Caenorhabditis elegans: one gene and its partners. The protein of the gene in region 2 interacts with the protein of the main gene of each other region in a pairwise test. Each region holds a gene or a part of one and is shown on either strand. Other genes may lie near its edges. The genes, in order: R148.5, tbx-42 and ima-2.

Evidence for each region.
Region 1: the proteins of tbx-42 (region 2) and R148.5 interact in a two-hybrid assay, tested with the Caenorhabditis elegans proteins (one large-scale study listed by BioGRID).
Region 3: the proteins of tbx-42 (region 2) and ima-2 interact in a two-hybrid assay, tested with the Caenorhabditis elegans proteins (one large-scale study listed by BioGRID).

Annotation. Positions count from the first base shown.
Region 1 is NC_003281.10:3,164,443-3,171,767, reverse strand, and holds R148.5 (PID domain-containing protein), read right to left. Parts: upstream 5,484-7,325; coding exon 5,335-5,483; intron 4,832-5,334; coding exon 4,467-4,831; intron 3,494-4,466; coding exon 3,281-3,493; intron 2,435-3,280; coding exon 1,756-2,434; intron 1,296-1,755; coding exon 1,211-1,295; coding exon of another isoform or gene 1,184-1,210; intron 927-1,183; coding exon 831-926; 3' UTR 572-830; downstream 1-571. Other genes in the region: R148.4 (MARVEL domain-containing protein), read right to left, coding at 1-54.
Region 2 is NC_003282.8:5,232,251-5,235,887, reverse strand, and holds tbx-42 (Putative T-box protein 30/42), read left to right. Parts: upstream 1-2,012; coding exon 2,013-2,209; intron 2,210-2,258; coding exon 2,259-2,445; intron 2,446-2,500; coding exon 2,501-3,043; downstream 3,044-3,637. Other genes in the region: thn-5 (Pathogenesis-related protein 5-like), read right to left, coding at 3,409-3,623. UniProt on the Caenorhabditis elegans protein: Involved in the regulatory network to control embryonic patterning and morphogenesis. Implicated in negatively regulating vab-7 expression at the anterior of embryos.
Region 3 is NC_003279.8:6,313,254-6,317,767, reverse strand, and holds ima-2 (Importin subunit alpha-2), read right to left. Parts: upstream 2,536-4,514; 5' UTR 2,522-2,535; coding exon 2,426-2,521; intron 2,332-2,425; coding exon 1,996-2,331; intron 1,953-1,995; coding exon 1,572-1,952; intron 1,528-1,571; coding exon 950-1,527; intron 904-949; coding exon 699-903; 3' UTR 501-698; downstream 1-500. Other genes in the region: hrpk-1 (Heterogeneous nuclear ribonucleoprotein K homolog), read right to left, coding at 4-51; srg-14 (Serpentine receptor class gamma-14), read right to left, coding at 3,176-3,388, 3,431-3,604, 4,081-4,443. UniProt on the Caenorhabditis elegans protein: Nuclear transport receptor that mediates nuclear import of proteins, and which is involved in sister chromatid cohesion. Binds specifically and directly to substrates containing either a simple or bipartite nuclear localization signals (NLS) motif.

The DNA of each region.
Region 1 (7,325 bases), on a different chromosome or scaffold from region 2:
CGGTTTGAAGCTTGGCAGGGCTCCATAAAACGAGAAATTCGCTTCTTTTGACATTTTAATCGATTTTCTGCCGAAAAATCGGCGAAAATCTGTTGAAAATCAATTAAAATCGGTTTTAAATTCATAAATCGCGCTAGAAACGGATACGGTGGCGGATTTCGCGTCGAGACCCGCTGCAATATCTTTTCGAATGCGCCTTTGAATGGGTACGGTAGAACTAGTTTTGCAGCATTTTTGCGGATTGATCCGCGGATTTTGATGGATTTTTCAGATAACAAAGTGGTTTTTGTTGTGGGGAAACTGAGAAAAACAGAGAAACTAGTCTTGCAGTAAATATTCAGCAAAACTATAAAAAGCTCAAAATATGACGTAAATTGATATTTTACGCGAAATCCAGTGATCTTCCAATCAAAATACAACTCAAAAACGCAAGTTTTGATGGTTTTCATGTTTTTTGAAAAAATATAAATACGCAAGTTAAACTACCGCTCGATTCTCCCAAAAACTGCAAATTGCGTACAATACATCAAACCCGACGAAATTTTGCGTACTTTTTCGGAAAAATTTGAATTTTTATTAGATTTTTATTTTAAATATAAATATTCAAGGAATGCGGCTTATTATAAATATATGTCAAAATACTCACAGAAAAAGGCACAATAAAGGGGGCAGGGGCAGTTCTAGATTAAGAATTTTTCAAAAATTACAATAAAATTCAACAATTTCCTTTTGTTGTCAAGACCAGTAATTGGCGGTTTATTATAGAATTTTGTAGTGGATGGAAGAAAGAATAAATGGGTTTTCAGGGGAAAAAATCGATAAAATATTCATTAATTAGTGGGCTGGGCAGCGCGTCGGCTATTTTCCTTTAGCTTCATCTTCTCAAAGGCTTCATAGTCAACTGGTGGAGAGTCGGGGCGGGTTATCTGCAAAAAAAAATCAATAATTTTTGAGAAAATCGATAAATTCCCAGAAAGTCGATATTGTACCAAAAAAAGACCAAAAAATCGATAATTTTTCGGAAAATCGATAAATTTCTAGAATACACTTTCTAAGAAAAATCGATAAATTCTCAGCAAGTCGATATTACCCCAAAAATCGATTAATTTACCAAAAAATCGGTAATTTCCTAGAAAATCGAATAATTCCTTGAAAATCGATGATTTAAAAAATCGATAATTCACTAGAAAATCAATAAAAAACCAATTACCTCCGTCTCGACCGTTTGCGATGCAACTTCGGCGTGCTCCGATCGATTCAGCGTAGCGTTACTTGTCTCCTTGGCGGCCATTGATCTGGAATTTGAAGTTATCAATCACTATCGATGCACCATGTTGAAAAATTGAGCTTCAAAAACTTATATCTCATTTGGCTCATTTGAATTTTACCAAAACTTGCTTCACTACAAAAATATAGGAAAATTAATAGCAAACATTTTGTTAGTTGGTAATTTTTTTAATAAAACCGAAAGCAACCAATATATAAGTGGTAAAAAAGTATTTGCTCGATGCACCATGTTTAAAACTTGCTCATATCTCGGCTGATTCTTGAGCTATCAAAATTTGATCAACTACAAAATTATAGAAAAATTCATAACAAACACTTTGTTAGTTGGCAATTTTTTGATAAAACCAACCGGAACAGCGATATGAGCTGAGAAAGTGTATTGCTAGTTGATGTACAAAGCACCATGCACAAAGTCAATTTTAATGCTCTTATCTCTGTGAATTTCCGTTCAATCTTAACTTTTCTTACCTCAAAGTTCCCGAAAAAGCTTTCTCATTGATATGTGGTTTTCTATAGATCCCAGCTTCATATTGATCCCAGGCGCTATCGGCTCTCGTGGAAGCCATCGACGCCGATTCCCCCTTCTTCAGTGTTCCTCGCTTCTTGAATGTATCATAATATGTCTCATAACCATCTCCACCATAATTAGCCGGTTGATAGCTAGCCTCCGGGAATCCTCCAGTTGCTCCAACATAAGCTGGCTCTTCATAAGCTCCTCGACGCATTGTCCCATAAACCGACTCTGGCCCAGTAATAATTGGTCCACCATCAGTCGGTGGGCTACTAGGCCTCATGAAATGTGGTGGTGGTGGAGGAAAGAACGGCGGGTATGGTCCACCTCGGAACATCATTGGATGCGGGGGCGGCATAAATCCACGTGGTGGTCCCATACCGAAATGTGGTGGTGGAGGCATAAATGGTGGGGGCATACCTCGACCCATAAAATGTGGTGGAGGAGGTGGAAAGTGTCCACGTGGCGGTGGAGGGAAGAAGCCGAATGGCGGAGGCATCATTGCATAGGGATGGTGCATCGGATGAGGAGGTCCGTATGGATGATGTGGTGGGGGTCCACGATAGGAGAGATCATTGTCGGAGCCAGCGCGGCGGAGGGGCTCGTCGAACGGGACAAGGGCTCCGCGGATGCCGCCTGAAAATTAGAATATTAGAGAATAAAAAAAATAGAGAATCAAAAAATGGTCAACTGACAAAATCTTTATGGTTTTTTTTTAAATAACCGGAAATTTGAGCAATCAAAGGTAGGCAACGTTTTTAACATGGTGCCTCAGGTTAGCTCAACTTTGACTGCTCACAACTCGGTAGTCGTTTGTTGTATCCAAAAATTGCCAACTGACAAAATGTTTAATATTGGTTTTTCTAAAATTTTGCGGTTGAAAAAAACTGAATAGCTTAAAAATCACCGGAGATATGAGTGATCAAAACCTGGCACCGTTTTGTACATGGTGCATCAATTTTCCCTTCATTTAACAGCTTATAACTCGGTTGTCGTTTCTTTTATCAAAATTTAGTCAACTGACAAAATGTTTATCATTATTTTTTCTATACCTATAGTTTTGCAAACAATAACTCAATTAAAATGAACGGAGATATAAGCTCTCAAAGCTTGGCGCGATTTTTCTTATGGTGCATCGTAACAGTTGTCTTTGGCTGATTTGGCTGAACTCGGTTGTCGTTTATTTTATCAAAAAATTGTCAACTGAGTAAATGTTTATTATAAATTTCTCTATAATAATGCACTGAAAAAGAATTTAATAACTTCAAAATGAACTGAGATATGATCAGTTACAGCTAGGTCTGCTCATTGTGCATCGAGCTAGCTGATCTTTGACAGCTTATAACTCGATTGTCTTTAGTTTTACTAGAAAATTGACAACTGACAAATTTTTTAGCACTGCCTCACAAATGTTACTTATTTTAGCAAACACCAATATCTTAAAAACGAACAGAGATATTTTCAATATACTAAGTCACCTACCCTGCTCACTAGCAGCTTTCTTATTCTTATTCACCAAACTGCTGCTAATCGACACACTATCATATTCTCCGTCCTGCTGCCGTCTTTCTTGCCAATTTTTCATATTCTTCTCCTCCGGGACTACATCTTCCTCAAATGAGTTTTCCTCAATCTCACTGGACGGGGAGTTTGGTGATCGGTCACCAGTTGATCCTTCCTTGATTGCTTTTAGACCTGGAATTTTTTTTTGAAATTTATCTTTTTCAATTTTATGATGAATAGACATTTTTCTAATATTTCGAAATATACATGTTTTTTCTAAACAAACCAATATATGAGCTGCCAAGGGAACATTTTGAACATGGTGCATCAACCAGAAATACTAAACTCAACTTTTACCGCTTATATCTTGGTTGTCTTTGGTTTTATTTAAAAAAGTGACAACAGACAAAATATTGAAAAATGTATTTCTACATTGTTGTGAAAAAAATTGAGAAAAGGGTCAAAATGAAAGGAGATATGAGCCGCCAAAGTCCAGTACTTTTACAAGCTAGTATCTCGATTCTCATTGATTTTAGAGAAAAGTTATAAACTGACAAAATGCTTGTTATATCTTTTTCTATAATTGTGATGTTATAAACTATTTGATAACTTAAGAATAAGCCGAGTTATAAACGTTAAAAGGCATCATTCAAAAATGGTGCATCGACCAAAAATACTGCGCTCAACTTTGAGCGCTTGTATCTCAATTTTCAGTTGACATAGAAAAAAGTTATAAGCTGACAAAATATTTTTCATATTCTGCTCTATAATGTGTGTAGTTATAAATTATTTAATAACTCAAACAAGAATTAAGATATAAGCAATCAAAGTCATCATTCAAACATGGTGTATCGACCAGAAAAACTTCATTCAACTTTGAACGCTTGTATCTCGATTCTCATTGGTTTGAGGAAAAATTATAAACTGACAAAATATTATTTATATTCGGCTCTATAATTTTGTAGTTATAAATTCCTTGATATCTAAAAAATGAACCAAGATATATAGCAATCAAAGTGATAAGTCAAACATGGTGCATCGACCAGAACCACCGCACTCCACTTTAACCACTTATATCTTGGATATATTTGATTTTATAAAAAAGTGTTCACTAAGAAAGTATTTGTCATAAAATTTTCTATATTCTGGTTACAAACAGCCTCACCTGGAATCCTCTCGTCCATTCTCAAATGCATAGTTTCTGTGTAGGCATGCACCATACACCTGACCAATGCATTTGCTGCCTTCACATTTGTACAAATAAATCCATGACATTCGAGAACCTTAACCCCAGTGGTTCTTCTGAAGATTGCCGCGAAAATTGGCGGATGTGGGGAATTTGGGATATTCGCGAATGGGCTGTCGAGTGGCATAAACTGTTCTCCACCACCGCCAACTTTGAAGCCTTCCACATTTACGTAACGAACGGCGGCACAATAATGGAGAGTTATAATTGGGAAAAAGACGGTTTCAGTCTTCTTTTCGCCTTCGATGTACTCCAAAAGGACTCCGTTCGACCACACTGATAGCCTGGATATTAAGATTTTTAAGTTATTGATAACATTTTTGAATTCAGCTTAAAAATAGCTTTTAATTAAGCCCCATCATGACTATATTCCGACTATTTTGAATTTTGACACATCCATGCGCCAAAAAAAAAAATCAACTTTTCGTGGTGGGTCCAACATTTGTAAATTAATCGGAGTTTAGCCAAAATATGACGACTAGTTAAATAATGAGAATTCAGAAAAATAGAGCACAGTAACCCAAACATTTTCGTTTTCGTGGCGGGACCCAAATTTTGAAATGAACGGGATTTAGCCAATATGGGTTTTATTTGAAAGCTCAAAGCGTGTTAAATGTGAATTTGAAAATTGTTTTTTTATAACTCGCGTCTTCGAATTTTTTGGAAATTAAAAAAAAAATTTTTTTCAAAAAGCAATAACTCAACTAATTTTCAATATTTTTTTGAATTCTTACCACAAAATTAAGCTGAATTTTCAATTTTTAAATAAAAAATATTTAACTCTTACCATGAGTCAATTCCACGTGTATCTGGCGATTCTTGAATCGGGTATCTCTCCTTCAGTGGCTGCTGGATGCCTTGTAGGCCGTCTTTTGTGATTGTAGGCACCGAACTGCCGATGTATAACACTCGGCATCTGCACAATGGCAAAGGCATCTGGAATGTATTGGAATTTTTGGGAAAAAGTAGCGTAAAATAAAAGAGAAATGTGCGGGCAGAAAAAAATTTAAAAAATTTCTTAAATAAAAATAATTTTTTCAAATTTTTGCAGTTTTTATTTGACCAATCGATAGAAAATTTTACGCTGATCATTTTTGTCTCTTGCAACTTTTTTCTATCTCTAACCATTGCAGAGATATTTGCACTTAAAGTTAGGAGGAAGAGAGAATGTGGGGGAGGGGGAGACGCAGACGCTCTGCCTTTCTGCGTCTCGCCTCCCCCCGCGATCACTCGCCGCGAGAAGGCGCGCTAACTTTAAGCGGCTATAACTCTGCAGTAGTATGAGCTAATAAAAAAGTTTTAACAGGTAAAATGTGCAGAATTTTTGGAGAATATTTTTGCAGTGAAAACTTTTTTGAAATACCAATTGGAAAAAAGTTAAGAGGAGCCTAAAAAGGAGCCTACAAAAAACAAGAGGAAAACGTTAAAATTGGTAGAAAACACATAAAATGGAAGAAAAAAACAACCTTTCACCATAGAGAGTAAAAAAACAGTTCCAAGTAGAAGCTTCTCCCTTTCTCCAAGAAAAAAAACTAGTAATGGATACTGGTTATTAGCAGTAAGTAATAGTGTCTAAAGGAACAATATATATATGTGGATTGACATAAACACATTCCTTCCCTCCACAAGAGATCAAGGATGACGATACGGATGGAAGAAGACGTGCGGGAAGAAGACGAAGGGGGCATTGTAATGAGGAGTGTCCTTCGGTGAGGGGGAAAGAAAAAAGATTATCAGTGAGATATCTTGGAACTGATAAACACTTCCCGACAGGAGGTCATCACGGATTAGGCCGACTACTTTGTGGTACATTTATAATTGGGTTAAATTATGTTTTCCACTAAATATTATAATGCCCCATAAAATTTTATACAATTTTGTAATTGGAACTTTTTAAAAATGTTCACTTGTTGCAGAGTTATGGAGGTTTCAAGCTAAACCTCCGAAAATATTGTGGGAGGGGGAGAGACGCAGAGAAGTTGGAGGCTCTGCGTCTCCCCTCTCCCACATTCTCTCTTCCTCCAATCATTAAACGCGATTATCTCTGTAATGGATAGAGATCGAAAAAAGTTGCAAGAGACAAAAATGATCGGCGTAAAATTTCCTATATAACTTGTCGTAAATATCAAGAAATTTTGGGAGGACTATATTTTTTTATATTTTTCGCTGAAATTAGTAATCTCTATTTTTCGGACAGCAAAATAATCTAAACAAAATTCCTTACATTTTACCAGTTGGCACTTTTCAGAAAACTCTACCCACTGCAAAGTTACACCCGTTTAAAGTTAGCTACATGGAGAGAGCAGAGGGGGAGGCGAGACGCAGAGAAGTAGGAGGCTCTGCGTCTCCCCCTCCCACGATATCTCTTCTTCAAACTTTAAAGGCGATTATCTCTGTAACGGGTGGAGATACAAAAAAGTTACAGTATCCAAAAATTATCAGCGTAAAATTTTCTATCAAATGAAAAATAGAGAAATGTGATAATAAAAATAAACATTTTGAGGTTTTTCAAAATTTTGAAAAAAAAAACTTGATTTAACCAACAAAAACGATTTCCAAATCGTTCACCAAAAGTACAGTGGAAATAAGAAAAGGCTGTAAGCGGATTTACAAGCGGCTTCACCGACTAAAACTTAAACGCCCGGCAACTTTTTTCCCCTCCCTCATAAATCCGTTGACTACCGAATGCGGGAAGAAAACGATGGTAAAAGTGAAAAGAACAACTGCTGGGAAAGGTAGTAATGGGATGGTGTACATGGGGTGTAAACATTCTGGGAA
Region 2 (3,637 bases):
TGTCAAAACAAATTAGTTTGGTGTTAATTTTGGGCTCTTTGGAATTTTCAGAAACTGTGAAACGTATAAATTAGGAAATATTTTTTCTCAGTTGAACAGTAAGCGCAAACAAGGCATTTTTTAAATAACGTGGCTAATATTTTTAAAAGATATAGTAAAAAAAGAAACACTGACCTAAACTTTTAGCCCAGAAAGTCAAACAAATCGTTATCAAATTGATATTAATCTGAAATAACTCAATACAAATTTGGTATACAATCAAAGCACAAGATTTTTCCTACTTTGTTTTTAAAAACAAAATGAAACATGTGAACATATATGATATTGAACTAATAATTTTCTTGAAGAAACTCAAAAAACCCTGAAAGGTTAAGCTTTTTTTTAACTCAATGTCGGTAAACTGGTTACATTAGGTTATTTTTTCCTCTCAAATTCAAAGAAGAAATTGCAAGTTTGAAAATGAAATGCTACTTTAAGTTTTAATTTCTAATATTTTCCACAAAAAATCCTCGGTCTTGTATTTTAATCTCCTGTTTTTATATTGACCCTTATTCATTTCCCATTGTCTGTCAATATAGTTGTCATTCCAATGATGACAATAGGTGCTTTCGGTAATAATAAGGAATTAATTTATATAAAAATTGGGTGGAATACATTTTGTCAGGATTTTCAGCCTCTGTGTATGTTAAAGATGTGAAATGGAATATTATATTGATCACGGAAGCAACAATAAATTATCCTCCTTTTAGTTATTTTTCATTTTTTAGGCTGAACTGATATTGTCATCATTGGAATGACAACTATATTGACAGACAATGGGAAATGAATAAGGGTCAATATAAAAACAGGAGATTAAAATACAAGACCGAGGATTTTTTGTGGAAAATATTAGAAATTAAAACTTAAAGTAGCATTTCATTTTCAAACTTGCAATTTCTTCTTTGAATTTGAGAGGAAAAAATAACCTAATGTAACCAGTTTACCGACATTGAGTTAAAAAAAAGCTTAACCTTTCAGGGTTTTTTGAGTTTCTTCAAGAAAATTATTAGTTCAATATCATATATGTTCACATGTTTCATTTTGTTTTTAAAAACAAAGTAGGAAAAATCTTGTGCTTTGATTGTATACCAAATTTGTATTGAGTTATTTCAGATTAATATCAATTTGATAACGATTTGTTTGACTTTCTGGGCTAAAAGTTTAGGTCAGTGTTTCTTTTTTTACTATATCTTTTAAAAATATTAGCCACGTTATTTAAAAAATGCCTTGTTTGCGCTTACTGTTCAACTGAGAAAAAATATTTCCTAATTTATACGTTTCACAGTTTCTGAAAATTCCAAAGAGCCCAAAATTAACACCAAACTAATTTGTTTTGACAATGAAACGTCTTCGTCTATAATTTGCAATGTATATGATGCCGAAGTTTTCATAAGAAAATACCAATTGGCTCATCCTATCCACTGCTTTAAATAAATGAATGAAACAGTACAATTTTAAAAAGATTCTATCAAACAATTTTGAAGTCAGTTCAATAAGACTTTCATTTTAACTCAATAAATACCCACTAATTTTGTAAAAAAAAACATATCACTCACATGCTAGTCGTCGTCTTGTTTCCTGTTCGAACTGTATTTTTATAAAAATATAAATGTATCGTATTTGGTATTGTACTAACCCAATTTTTTTCCGGTAAACCTTAATTTCGAAAAATTGTTTCAATTCTCAATCTCTTGTTACTATAACCTTTAATTTCTTATCGTTAATATATTTGTTATTTATTGACGTCTTTGAGAATATGTTAGCTCTCAGGAAATCGATAATTGGATGGACCCCGCCTCCGTGCTCAGACTCCGCCTGCTGTGTGTGCTCTGAAACAAGATGAGCATGGAGGCAGAAAATCATTCATTACAACATTCCGGTTAGAATACAGTTCATTTTTTTCTTTCTTTTTGCTTTTATATATATTTTTTAATTTTTCTATTCGTTTTTAATTTCAGATAAAGGTCTCTGCGATGAATCCATCAACTCAAATCGTTGTGAAAATGTCAAATGAAGAACTATGGAAAGAAAGATATCCAAATATGGAAATGATTTCAAACAGTAAAAGAATTACTCCAATTTTCCCTGAAATCAAATTCAAAATCTCTGGATTGGAAGAAAATTCAAGATATGTATTGGTACTGTCACTTGAAAAGATGGATAATATCAGGTAATTTTGATTATTTTACAAAAATTAAATAAATTCCTAATTATTTCAGATATGGAATAAATGAAAACAAAGAATGGGCTCCATCGTCTGCTCGTAAACCAAAACCACATCATAATATGAAGTTTTTCTTTCATCCAGAAGGAACAAAACTTGGAAAAGAATTGATGGCTGAAACAGTTGAATTCACTTCAGTGAGGATTACAACAAGTGAGAAATTATCAGAAAAGGAGAATGTGGTTAGTTTCTATTTTTATTGCTTTAATCAATTTATTGAAAAACTATTTATTTCAGTTCTATGTTCACACAATGCACAAGTACGTGCCTGTGCTTACAATCAGGAACCTAACAACCGGAGAAATTGCCTCAAATATCTTTAAAATGGAAATTGCTCAATTCTTCCCAGTTTCAATTTATCAGCAAGCTTCCATGGGAAGATGGAAGTCTGATTTGAACAAGCATTCAACTTTTGGAAATAGGTCAGAAGGTGGAATAAAAAGAAAAACTTCTGATGCAGCTGGACAACTACCATCAAAAAGGTCATCGAAGAAGCCTGTAAAGAAGGATGTTGTGGATAATTCTGAAGTTACTCTAGAAGTGAAAACGTCTCAATATCTTGTGAATCAAAACGAGAGTAATCTAACTGAGTATATTCCTTCTTCTCCACTCTATTCATCCCAAAACCAGTATCAATATCCGTTCCATCCATATTCTCCATTTGACTCATCTATCCCATATCCATACTCTCCAATGGATTACTCTTATTACTTCAATCCAACTTTCCAATCATTTTCCCCAGAAAATGTATATTTTGATGAAAATAGAAACCCCCATTAACTACTCGAATAGCCATTTCAAATAATTTACTCTTTTTTGTTCTTTTCATGATTGCTCCCCTTTGATAGTTAATTATTTATTCTTCCTGTGAATATCAATGATTCCCCATGTTTTCTATGTTTGATATCATTAAAATTTCTTTCTTTTGTCCTTTTATATTTGATTTTGTTGTCGATAAATTTAAATTTAACCTGTTTTGTGATTCATTTATTAATTTTCATTCCAATAAGATTTAAAAATTAATTATTATGTTCAGTTAAAAGCACGCTTCAAAAATAAAATCAGGCTGCGAAATTCTGCAGAAATTTTCTGAAAATGCTTTAAAAAAACCCAGAACATTTATCCAGAAATTTAAGCCCACTCAATTAACAAAATTGAACTACATAATTTGCATTTTTACAAGTAAAAGTGGAAGTAGCATCATCATAAGCATAAGAATATGCAGTTGGACAAGCATCTTTGAAAAGCATTGCAGTTCTGCTTTGTCTACATTTGTCAGGAGTTCCAAATGCTCCACGGCAGCATTCCTGATCGTTGTTGTAAGCAACACAACCAGATTTACAGCCAACGGTACGACCATCTGAAATTGAAACA
Region 3 (4,514 bases), on a different chromosome or scaffold from region 2:
TACCTTCGGACTGTCTGTTCCATTAATAGCGGCTCCCACTTTGATCATCATTTTGAGTTTGGATGTACTGCAATTAATGTGTGATTTAACGAATTATATTGAATTTTAATTATTGGAAAAAGCTGAGAAATTTGAAGTAACCGAGAAATAGCTGTGAAGAAGTTTAAAAAACTTTTTTAGGACTATGAGCCGGATCTTGTCAAGTTTTGTTATCCTAACCAAACATTATTGTGACAAATGCTTCAAGTGGAAATTATTTTTCAAATTTCGTGATAAAATCATTAAAATTAACGACAAAAGGCATCATTTCAGTTCAGCCGGAAGAAAAGAAAAAACAAGGGATATTGAGTCCAGATTAAAGGCGCAGACAATTTTCAGATGGGTCCCGCGACGAACACATAGACAAAAACGCGGATGTTCAAATTAGCGAGTGAACAGTTCAACAAAGAAACATGAATGCGTATTGAAAAATACGCGCATCGTTTTCCCGGTTATAAAAATCATATGTTCCACTTTCTTTTCATTCTAAACAAATTGTCAATTTAAAGTGAAGAGATCAGTTAAAACGGGGTCAAATATAAATACGGGTAATACACACAGATGAGGGTAATTCTAAAAAAAACAATCCAATGTTAAATGTGAGAAAGAAGAATGTTACTATGAAATGACTACTAGAATGATGATAAGTGTGAAATAATTTAGAAACTCCATTTGTTATCTTGTGGATCGGCATTCTCATGAGACTCCTTCTCTCCAGCATCATCGTCGGTGAAGAATTGAGTGATGATGCGGTAAGCCTGAGTATAGATCTGCTCCGATTGACTTTCCTGGAGGCGCTCCAAACTGTCAAGTCCACCATTCTCTTCGACTTGGTCGTGAAGAATGTCCACTTTGTGAGGGTAACTGGAATCACATTTTTGAGAGTGCTAATTATCTAATAAAAACATACCCATTCTGAACAGTGAGCATAAGAGTATACAGAGTCTCCAAAGTATTATTCAGCATATCAGTGTTAGTTTGAAGAAGGGCTTGGCACAAAGCAGGCACTACATTGTCTTCAAGCATGGCGACAACTTGACGATTTGTTCCCCCTTGAGCCAAATTAGAAAGAGCCCAAGAAGCCTCGAACTGGCACTTGTGATCTCCCGACTTCAGAACATTGATGAGAACTGGGAGAAGATTTGCGTCGAGGACAGCTTGAATCTGCTTCTGAGTTCCAGCAATAATGTTGGACACCAACCAGCAGCACTCCTTCACAATGCTTGATGATCGCGTCTTTTCCATCAATGGAAGAATTTCATCGAGTGATCCCAAGTCGATAACCGCCTGTGTCAGCGAGTCATTTCCAGTTGCAACATTACCAAGAGTTCGGAGAGCCGGAGCAACAAGGTTTTCAGCTTCTTTGAAGAAAGCGACGACGTGAGGAAGCACACCACTTTCTCGTGCCAATTCGATTTGCTCATCTGGTCCATCAGTCAAATAAGAAACAGCCCAGCATGCGTCTTGACGGACTTGACGGTCCGTGTGCTAAAGTGAAGACGTTAATTGCGATCGAACATTTTGACAATTACCTGAACAAGTTTGACAAGACCTTTCGACAGAACACGAAGAACTTCTAATGGGGCATGTGGATTCTTATGACGGCACATGTTGGAGAATGCCCATGCAATGGTACGAACATGCGAATCTCCCAGTTGATCGACTTTCTCCATCAAATGCATCAACGCCTCCACTCCATGGCATTTAATAACATAATCACGAAGTTGAGATGAGTCTCCAGCAATGTTAGCGACTGCCCACAAAGCTTGCTCCGAGATCTGCGCACTCTGATGAACTGAAAGATGGATCAGTGGAATTGTTACTCCGGCTTCAACAGCTGCAATTGTTTGCTCGGTGGAACCGGAAACGATATTGGTAAGAGCCCAAGCTGCTTCATATTGAACACGCTCGTTCTGAAAATTGGAAATTATTGAATGGAAATAAAGATCGACCTACCTCAACGCTCAATGCCTGAACCAAAGCCTGAAGCAAACCGCAGTGAATGACTTCATCAATAGGTGGATTCTTCGTCTTTGATAGTGATTTTCTCAACGACTCGAAGCATCGAACCATATCATCTTCCGATGGATTGTTGGAGAGAATAGCTCTAATCTCATCATTTGACAAACGGGTTGATGATTGCTGATGAGATATCTTCTCTGGCTCCTCGAGCTCCGATTCCGAATTGCCACCTTCATCGACGTCGACGATGTTACGGCGTTTCATCATCATGTCCGCTCCTTTTTGCTTTCGAATTTCAACACTGCATTCAGTACGACGACGACGGAGCTCCTGAACAGAACAAATAAATAAATCTCGCAATTACTTTAAATAAGTCGGATAGTAACATTTTTGCATGAAATCTGTTATCAATAATTTAACATACTTCATGCTTGGTGAGATTCTTGTACTGTTGAAGGCGGCCTCCCTCATCCTTTCCCTCTTCGGCATTGTGAGACAGGCTGGTTTCGGTGAGAGTCATAGTTAAGCTTCAATCTGGAAGAACTTATGTGAATATTAAACAAAAATAACACTATTAGAAAAAAGTAGGAGTTTCTGATTCGAAAAAGTTCGGAATAAATCACCTCCATACTTTTTAATAATAAATTTCGCAACGAGATAAATGGGAACTAGTTAAACAGAACTAAAATTTCATGAGAATATTACAAATTCAGTTGAAAAGAATGAGTGGTGAAACTATTTAAGAAAGAAAAGGAGGAAACATTGGGCGATGAAAGCAGAAATGAGCGCCGCGGCCCAAAATTGTTATCAAAAAGTGTAACCTTCGCGCCGAAATTCGAAATGTTGAAGCGAATAAGGCGCCAATAAAGAGCGTTGGCGCCAAACTGATTTTTGGCGGTAACTTAAAATCGAATTGTTTGCTTTTAAAAAATCGCATTAATGCGTATTCATGGAATGTTTTTGAGGAAAAGATTTATACTTCCGAAAATATATAGATTTTCTAGCCCTACAAAAATGAAAAATGCAGAAAACACAAACTCCAATATAAATACCACGATATATCTAACCTTAATTGTACAGTAATCTACCGTAGTTCTAAAAACGGTGCAGCATGCATTTCAACATGATTGAATAAAACATACTGTTGAATAAACAATACTTTATTCGAAAAAGTTCAACGAGCAATCACCATTCCGGAAGTTCTAGTTAACATTTTTGACAGTGTCTGATTTTTTCGTTTACTTTTAAAAATGTGAGTTCGAAGATTTCTGCTAACACATATCATTACAATTGGAGAACCAACAGTTAAAAAGTCTAGAGCTAAAAAGCTAAATCCATAAACGGGGCTTGATGCATCAGTGTATGAGAAGAAAAAGCTGTAGTATATCTGAATGTTCTAGATATTTTTTAAAATTCAGAAGTTAATAACCTGAAATAAAACTTTAAAAGTGAACCCAATGGATATGATAACCGTTGCATTAGAGATTGCTTTTTCTATTTCTTTTGATCTTTCTGGAAGTTTTAACAAAGTAATTGCAGTGCATATAAATGTAAATGATAATGCAATAATAATAAAAACAAGTTGAAAACGAGATTGGCTTGCCTGAAACAATAAATATTAAATATAATGTACATATTTAATGTGCTCCCAGCCTCAGTTCTTGTCACGAACAAGTGTGTTGGGTTACTGTACCCGCTTATCTTCTCGTTTTCCCAGAACTTTTCAATATTTCAGAATTAAAAAACGCATAATTCTAGAAATATGATCAACACAAAAAGAGAGAATGACAAATAGAAAGATTGATGATCTATCATTGTTGCGGGTACGGTAGCTGAAAAATTTTACTCGTCTCGGGATCCGAGACTGTTGAACAAAAAGTTCAGTCGAAAGTGTAGTTTTTCGCATGTGAGGTAATATGTCTAATTTGGTATAATCTGGAATCCTTAAAGTCACACTCATTTATTTTGTAAGGGTCTCTCCAGTTCATCTTTTATTTTTCTGTATGTGGTTCATTAAAACAGTTTCTTCAGTTTCTTTTAGTTTTAAAACAAAAAAGAAATGGAAACAGATGAACTTACCCAGCTAACTTTCTTGAAATAGCTAACCCAGAAACCTCCATACGTGGATTGCATGTAAACTCGAGATATAGCAATATTCCAGTCAGCACAAAATGGAATTAAAAAAACTGCACTAATCACATATTTCAAGCTTTTTCTCCATATTGAATCGTGCGTTATTGGAAACAGGACACACGTCATTCGATTTAAAACTAACAAAACTTGTAAAAGGGATTTACAAATTGATACATGATGAGTTAATAACATTATAATCTTAAACCCAACAAGCGGAGATTGAAAGTAATCAGCGAGAACAGGGCATATTGGTGTAAAGTAAATAAAGAAACGAGCAAATAAACCTTCTGTTATAAGAATTGATATGTTCTGAAGAAAGTACGGTGCCCATTTGAAACCTAATGAAACAACAGATTCAAACAGAAAGGTCTTACAGCGAA